Daphnia pulex: one gene and its partner. The protein of the gene in region 1 purifies or fractionates together with the protein of each later gene. This does not show direct contact. Links are inferred from orthologs where the notes say so. Each region holds a gene or a part of one and is shown on either strand. Other genes may lie near its edges.

The links.
Region 2: the proteins of syndetin-like (region 1) and vacuolar protein sorting-associated protein 51 homolog purify together in Homo sapiens (affinity purification with mass spectrometry; 7 studies listed by BioGRID and IntAct, counting the BioPlex papers as one, with this or other methods). This does not show direct contact. The link is inferred for Daphnia pulex from reciprocal best matches to the Homo sapiens genes VPS50 and VPS51.

What each region holds. Positions count from the first base shown.
Region 1 is NC_060017.1:3,722,733-3,725,762, forward strand, and holds the end of syndetin-like, read right to left. Parts: intron 3,025-3,030; exon of another isoform or gene 2,993-3,024; coding exon 2,834-2,992; exon of another isoform or gene 2,825-2,833; coding exon of another isoform or gene 2,606-2,824; intron 2,515-2,605; coding exon of another isoform or gene 2,230-2,514; intron 2,170-2,229; coding exon of another isoform or gene 1,991-2,169; intron 1,928-1,990; coding exon of another isoform or gene 1,669-1,927; intron 1,601-1,668; coding exon of another isoform or gene 1,466-1,600; exon of another isoform or gene 1,276-1,465; intron 1,144-1,275; coding exon 1,022-1,143; intron 966-1,021; coding exon 776-965; intron 682-775; coding exon 568-681; 3' UTR 512-567; downstream 1-511. Other genes in the region: 60S ribosomal protein L22-like, read left to right, coding at 76-181, 242-283; uncharacterized protein LOC124195987, read left to right, coding at 1,466-1,600, 1,669-1,927, 1,991-2,169, 2,230-2,514, 2,606-2,824.
Region 2 is NC_060021.1:636,033-640,296, forward strand, and holds the start of vacuolar protein sorting-associated protein 51 homolog, read right to left. Parts: upstream 3,115-4,264; 5' UTR 2,918-3,114; intron 2,225-2,917; 5' UTR 2,162-2,224; coding exon 1,994-2,161; intron 1,921-1,993; coding exon 1,684-1,920; intron 1,620-1,683; coding exon 1,500-1,619; intron 1,437-1,499; coding exon 1,296-1,436; intron 1,195-1,295; coding exon 923-1,194; intron 851-922; coding exon 801-850; intron 734-800; coding exon 408-733; intron 344-407; coding exon 1-343. Other genes in the region: cap-specific mRNA (nucleoside-2'-O-)-methyltransferase 1-like, read left to right, coding at 3,563-3,596, 3,751-4,061, 4,126-4,264. UniProt on the Homo sapiens protein: Acts as a component of the GARP complex that is involved in retrograde transport from early and late endosomes to the trans-Golgi network (TGN).

The DNA of each region.
Region 1 (3,030 bases):
CTACTCTGAGACTATTGTTGATCTTTTTAGTAGGTAAATGTAAATCAGTGAATAAGTATTTTATGTTTAAATTAGGTATTTGAAGTATCTCACGAAGCGGTATTTGAAGAAGAACAACCTTCGTGATTGGCTGCGAGTCGTTGCTAACGGAAAGACCTCGTACGAGCTCAGATATTTCAACGTAAGTGAATAATATCAAGTGATAGTACCAGTAACGTAACTAATTTGTTTTTGTTTTTAGATTAACAACGAAGAAGAGGATGATGATGACGATAAGGAATAATCTGTTTCTCTTGTTCCGTTTTTGCTATCTGGTAATAAACGATGGCCATGACATTTGTACAATTATTATTGTGGAAAATTTCACTATTATTCTAGTTAAATTCGAAAGGTTCAAGTTGGTTTTAAAGTAGTTAAATAATTGCGATAGACCAATCGAGTTTTTAAATTCCTGATATAAGGTGACAGTTAAATGATGGAATGGAATAACCTTTTGACACGGAAATTCTGGTTGATATTATTACACATAACTTGTATTATCGGTAAAGATTAATTGCAACATTTACGTTACCGACGATTCAAGTCCAAGTCTTCCATAAACGAGGTCAAATTTAAACGAATCTTTTTACTTCCTTGACTTACACACTGGAGAAGATTCATCATCTGCCTTGGAGAATATTCCTGAAAAATGATCAATACAATTTTTATGTTGCTTTAACTTTAAACAATACTGAAACAAACTAAACTTCTCTTCAAACCAAATCAAAATTATTACCGTTTGTTCTTGGATCCATTTTTCCAATGCATTTTCGGGAAGATAATATGCTTTAATGTACGTTTCAACTATGGATGGATCGGGAAGAGGTCTTAATCTAGTTAGACATTCGACTTTCACTTGGAAATGCCTCAAATCTAATTGCATTAATGCACGGCCTTCATTCGTGCATTTCCGCACAGCGGAAAACCTATCAAAGGGTAACTATTTTTAACAACATCTTTAATAGACAGTTGAAGCTAATACCCGTCAAGCAGCATGTGATAACACACACGAAGGATTTGATCCCATAAAATGTTATATATCTCGGCAGGCAGCGTATGAGGGTAGCAGACACGAAGAACACTCGAATCGTAATCGTTCAGAACCTGCAGATATAAAAAAGAACGAAAAAAGCTGTAGAGAAATCGAATGAAAATTTTGCATTAATGAAGTATTTTCCTATTAAATTTCGTGGTCACCTATGTAGGAACGCCCATCCGTTTGCCAGATTTTTTTTATATACATACAACTGGTGGAAAACCGGAAACGGAAGCAGTAAAACAAGTAAAATAGTAACAATGATGACCACACCGACAAAAGCCTTTCCATACACAACTACTCTAGAGACCTAGAACTGAGGGCTTCTTTAGCGGTTTCAATTGTACATCAACAGCTTTTGGAATTGGATGACAATATTTATCTCCGAAAATGTGGTCCATTTTGCATTTAACCGTTTTCTTGGAATTATTTGTCTTTAGTTTTTCGTTAGAGTGGGGCACTCATTCACTTTTACAACCCGGAAGTTGTCCGAACTCTAACTCGATGTCACTCAACATTCATCAGGTATGTTTTACATGATAATCTTTCCGTTCAATAACATTAATTTGCTTTCATAATTTTACAAATATAAGATAACAGGGCAGTGGATAATTCAACATCTCCCATGGCCATTTCCCCAGTGTTGTCAACAACCCATTTTAAACTTCGAGGAAGATACTGAGAATCAGAATAAAACCGGAAACGACACTAATAGCCACTGGATAAGAATATCATTGGATTGGCCCAATTGTAAAGACCAACCAGAGACATGGCAACAACCATTGAAGTTTCGTCTTATGCAAAATCGAATCACCGAAGGGACATTTCTTATAAAACTATCCTGGCCTTTCAGTACATACAGCATTATAAAATTTAAGTTCCTGACCTAGTATATAATTTTTTGACATTTTTCAGACGCATTTGGTTTTGCTACACTGAATTTTGTTTCAATCGACTACAAAAAGTACGCAGTTGCTTACATCTGTCACACCTTTCTTCTTGAACACATTGCGATTCCGTTCATTATGGTACGAACAAACACAGACCTAGATTTCACTGATTGGCAACGAATGAAATGGACTTTGATAAAACAAGTTAGTACATATATCTTCGATCTTAAAAAATTCCCATGTTCTAACTCGTTACGAAAATAGGGTATCCTATCTGCATGGACTCTAATTGAAACGAAAGAGCAATGCAATGAAGTTATCGATTATAACTCTGATCGGAACGATGGAGACACATTTCATGAAAACCAACCAAACAGCTCAGAAATCTATGACGGCAGTGGCCACACTGAATCGAGTAATGCAGTAAGTTTCCCAACAAATACTGATGAAGAATACATACACAATGTACCATACAGTAAAGACGGAAAAACTACGGAAACGGCTTCTGTAGACCCTGACGCAGAATGGATAACGACAAAACATATTCAAGTACGTGTAGCCTTTGTCGAAGAAAGCTGTGAGATACGGTTGAGAATAATTAATTTCAAATTTTGTTGCTGATTTTTTTTTCCCTGAAAAGATTCAAGGACCAAACCAGAAACCAGAATATCCTACCCCGGACACTGTGCTTTGGCCGGCAATTTTAATGGAAAATCAACCTGCTTCAGACCAACTAGAAGGAAATCCCACATACACAACAGCTGCTGAAATTGCACCACTTATTGCACCTTGCAGCGGCTCCGGCGGAGAAGAATTGGGAATAAGCGACAGAACAATAGAACTAAGAGTAAAGAAATGAACACCTTACCTGAAGTATATAGTCCACGTAAGAACTGTGCTGGCTCATTACTTCTTTCACCTCCCACTGAACGCGGCTCATCATGTTTATAATGTGTTCTGAATCAAGGTATCTATGGGCAACTACGCTGAAGATTGGGACACGCAAATCGTGTGCCACTGATGTAGTCTGCAAAAGAAAAGTAAATATTAAAAAATAAATATTGG
Region 2 (4,264 bases), on another chromosome or scaffold:
GGTCTCCTTGAAAACCGACTGGAATGTCAAACTGTTCCTCTATTAAAGACAACTGCAAATCACACAAATTTACGTTAAAATTCTGAAGAGATATTTTGTTTGAATTCAATTCAATTACCAAGGATTGAGCCAAATTTTGACTAAAATCGATTGCCACCCGAGAGAGGACAAGAATTAGAGTCGGAGACGCGCTATCTTTCCCCGTTACGTTGCTCAGATTTGCTAACATAGTGGAAAGTTTACTCAACGACTGTACTAATACTTCTTCCCGTACGTAACGTCGACCAAATGTCTGACGGAATTGAGAATCTTGAGAAAAAGTAACGTGATTTCCTACAAAGGCCTAAATAAAAAATAAATGTTGAATTTTAACGGGTATAAAATGACACAGAACCTTACGATAATACCGTTAGAGCAACAAAAGCACGATGAATGTGTTCCACGAGAGCCCCTTCAATAAATTTGACCGAACCGTGTGGCTGATTATCGTTATTCCAGGAATCACGCCAGCCTTGTAGTTCACTTGTCCATTTGATAACAAGAGCGTCGGCTGTTCGATGTGAAATTATTCGAGCAATTTCAGTAATGAGAGTGAAGCTCCATTGCTTATCCACCAGTAATAGTCGCTGAACGGCCAATAGACGACGATGAAATTTATCCAAAGCCGCAACTACTGACAAACAGCAGGCTTCACTTATCTCGAATCCGATGATTTCGACAATTTTACTTTCCACTACAGGGACGAAAAGGAAATTTTATGACATGAGCTAATTTCTAGGGTGAAATATATAGCTCCTTACCTATTGGGCAAAGTTGATTAATAACATCCGTGGCCATGCTATTCATCCCCCTGTTAATTCAACGTATTATGATGAAAACGCAAAAAATTTAAACCATAAAATCAATAAAAAGTAAAACATACTCATTATGTTTCGATATGGTTGAAGGGAAAATGTTGTTGAAGGTTGCAATGGTAAGAGCAACGTTATTCAATGCTGTATTGCAGCATTTTTCAATGAATATGAGGACCACTTCTCCATTATTTTCACCAGACCACACATATGAGGATAGATCTTCCAAATCTTTTTCTAACCTCACTTTATTGATTTCAAGAAATTCTCTTGCAAGGTCAGTGGAAGATTCACCTAGTTTGCATAAAAGAGATGCAGATTCTTCTAGTTCCTGGGAAGTTACCTATGAATTCCATGAACATGTCATGTAAAATTCCACAATAGACATTTTGGTTAGTTTCTTATTATCTTACTTTCCAACATAATATTTTTTTTACAGCTTACCTCAGCTCTGCTGAATTGCACCTTTAGGCATTTCCTGAGTGTTTCAACAATTTCTTTGCAATCTGATTGGATTCCACTAAAAGAAGGATGATCTCCAAAATCTTGAAGAACTTGCTCAGATTTTGCATAATACTTAACAGCCTAAACAAGAAACATTATAGTTTAATACAGGAAATATAGACAGATAATGTCAATGAAACAAACCAATGAATAATTCTTTTCTTCTACACATGTTTTCAGCTTGTTGGGAAGATCAAACAAAAATTGCAAATTTTTTAGCAGTTCGTGAATGTTTGAAAGCTTTGTTATTTGTTGGCGCCGATCCTAAAAAGACAGGGTCATTATTATTAAAAATTTAATCAACTCTAAACTCAAATATTTCACCAACCTGTAAATTTGAAGATATATTGTTGGCAAATGTTGCAATATGAGACATGTCTTGAACTAACTTCTCCATTTCATCTTCCATAGTTTTGAAATCACTTTTCATTTGGCGGATGGTATCAGTGGCAAGGATAAATTTATTATAATTTTCATAAACCAAAGTTTGCATTTCTGAATCAAGTGATTGAATTTCACGAACAAGTTCCTGTTCTTTATCTATAAGTTGCTTTAAGCTGGTTTCCTATTGAAAAACATCCAAGCACATAAAAGTTTTATTTTATTATTTGGCAAAATAAGAAATAGAATATGATTACCTGAACCAGTTTGTCAACATAGGCATCAGCATTAAAGTGCTTTCCATCCACGTCAAAAAGGTTTTCTACATCCTTTTCTTCTGTTATCCCATAGTATTGAGAAAGAAGATTGTTTCTTTTTCTTTTATCGTTTTCATTTAGTTCTTTACTCATTTTGACGTTTTTCATTGGCACTGTTCACCAACTGATTAGTGATTACACATACCGCACATACATTTCTTTAGTTGTAACCACAGACTAAGAGGGTAAAGACCACGAACGGCTATAAACCCCTTGAAGCGATGCTCGTCCTATGCCGTATGGTGGCGCGTCGAGCACACAAAACGAAAGCCATTATTTTTCCTCTTTCCCTACTGATTAGAGTCTTCACACACCGTAAGTTTATAATTGAACCATTAACATATCAATAGTGATGTTTTGTGTAAATATAGCTTAGATATCTCCCATGTTGTGGGAATTTTTTTAAATTTCTATGTGATGTCTAGATACAATCCATAAATTCCTTTATTAAACCCCCTTTTTGCCCATTTTCAGGCCCAGGAAACAGCGTTTCAAGATTTTCTGAAATGGGCCTGAAAATCGTGAAACGCTGTTTCCTGGGCCTGAAAATGGGCAAAAAGGGGGTTTAATAAAGGAATTTATAGATTGTATCTAGACATCACATAGAAATTTAAAAAAATTCCCACAACATGGGAGATATCTAAGCTATATTTACACAAAACATCACTATTGATATGTTAATGGTTTAATTATAAACTTACGGTGTGTGAAGACTCTAATCAGTAGGGAAAGAGGAAAAATAATGGCTTTCGTTTTGTGTGCTCGACGCGCCACCATACGGCATAGGACGAGCATCGCTTCAAGCATCCCTCTTTAGCCCTATCCCTGATCGTAGTCTTTACCCTCTTAGTCTGTGGTTGTAACTGCAAATCGAATGGTTGGGGATTGGATAGCGTTAATGTAAGTTTTTGACGTTTCGCGAGCTGATGTCAGAATGTCTTAACGCTTCAAGTCTCAAACCGCCAACCCAAGGCATAAAAATAACAGGTAAGAAATTATGACAGGCCGGCTTGCTTTAGGTTTTGGATATGCAGTCTGCAGAGAGCTGCTGGCTGATTAGCTCATTACATTACACAATAATACCACCACACTAACAGCTGACCCCACCTTATCTGCTGCCCTCTATGTACTGATACTAAACTCAAAATATTTTCATATCAGCCAATAAAAATGAAAGACCCAGACTGTAGCAGACATCGCTACAGATATCAGATTATGCTAGCGTGAGCAAGAACGAGCGGTGTTTACTTTCTTCCGTTCGGTCATTCGATCGTTTTATTAAATCATTCGTCAGACATTTTTTTTTGTGTATTTTCAAGATGCTTGCATTTTGACTTCTATAGCCACATGTCAATGCGTACGTTTAATTCTGGTGAGTCATATATAAATCATGGAAATCAACTTTTGGAAGCTTTTGGCTTTTGAATTAACTTAAAAATTTGGAAACGTTATATTATTAGGAACGACGTCAGTCATCAAATAGTCTACACAACTACAAAACGCTAAACAATGGCTTCGCAAGGAAAAATAACATCACTGAGTGGTTAGTATGAGACGCTGTTTAAATTTTTTTATAGAAAAAAGTTGGTTTATCTTCAGCAATAATTAACCTAGCTTGAATAAATTGGTGGAACCCGTTTTGCAACTAATGGGTTATATATATATAATATAAGTAATTTCCTGCAAAATTTCTACAGATTCCAGTTCAGATGATGATAGTTACAGACCTCCTTTGAAAAAACCAAACACACAGTATTATAATAATACAGGAGAAGTTAACTCAAGAAAGAAACTAAATGACATTGAAACATGTGAACGTAGCACTGTCATTGTTAGCCCATCCAAAAGTAATGCTGATGGAGGATATGGGTTTAATGCACCATCCAGTAGTCAAGATTCTGATTCTAGTGATGATGATCAGCCTATCATGCCTTCTGTACATAAAACACTCATCAAACCTAAATCTGCTGCTGCTCCAGTCATAAATCATAAAGCCACAGCAATGATGGTCAGTTTAATATTCTTACAGTGCATACTATGTGGCTGCTAATAGATTTCTGAACTACTTAAAGGCTAAAATGGGTTGGGCTAAAGGAACTGGACTTGGTAAGAAATCCCAAGGTATGACACAGCCCATCGAAGTCTCTAAACAACGCGGAAGAAGAGGATTGGGTTTGCAGATAAAAGGATTGGAAGCTGAAGATGTTGAAT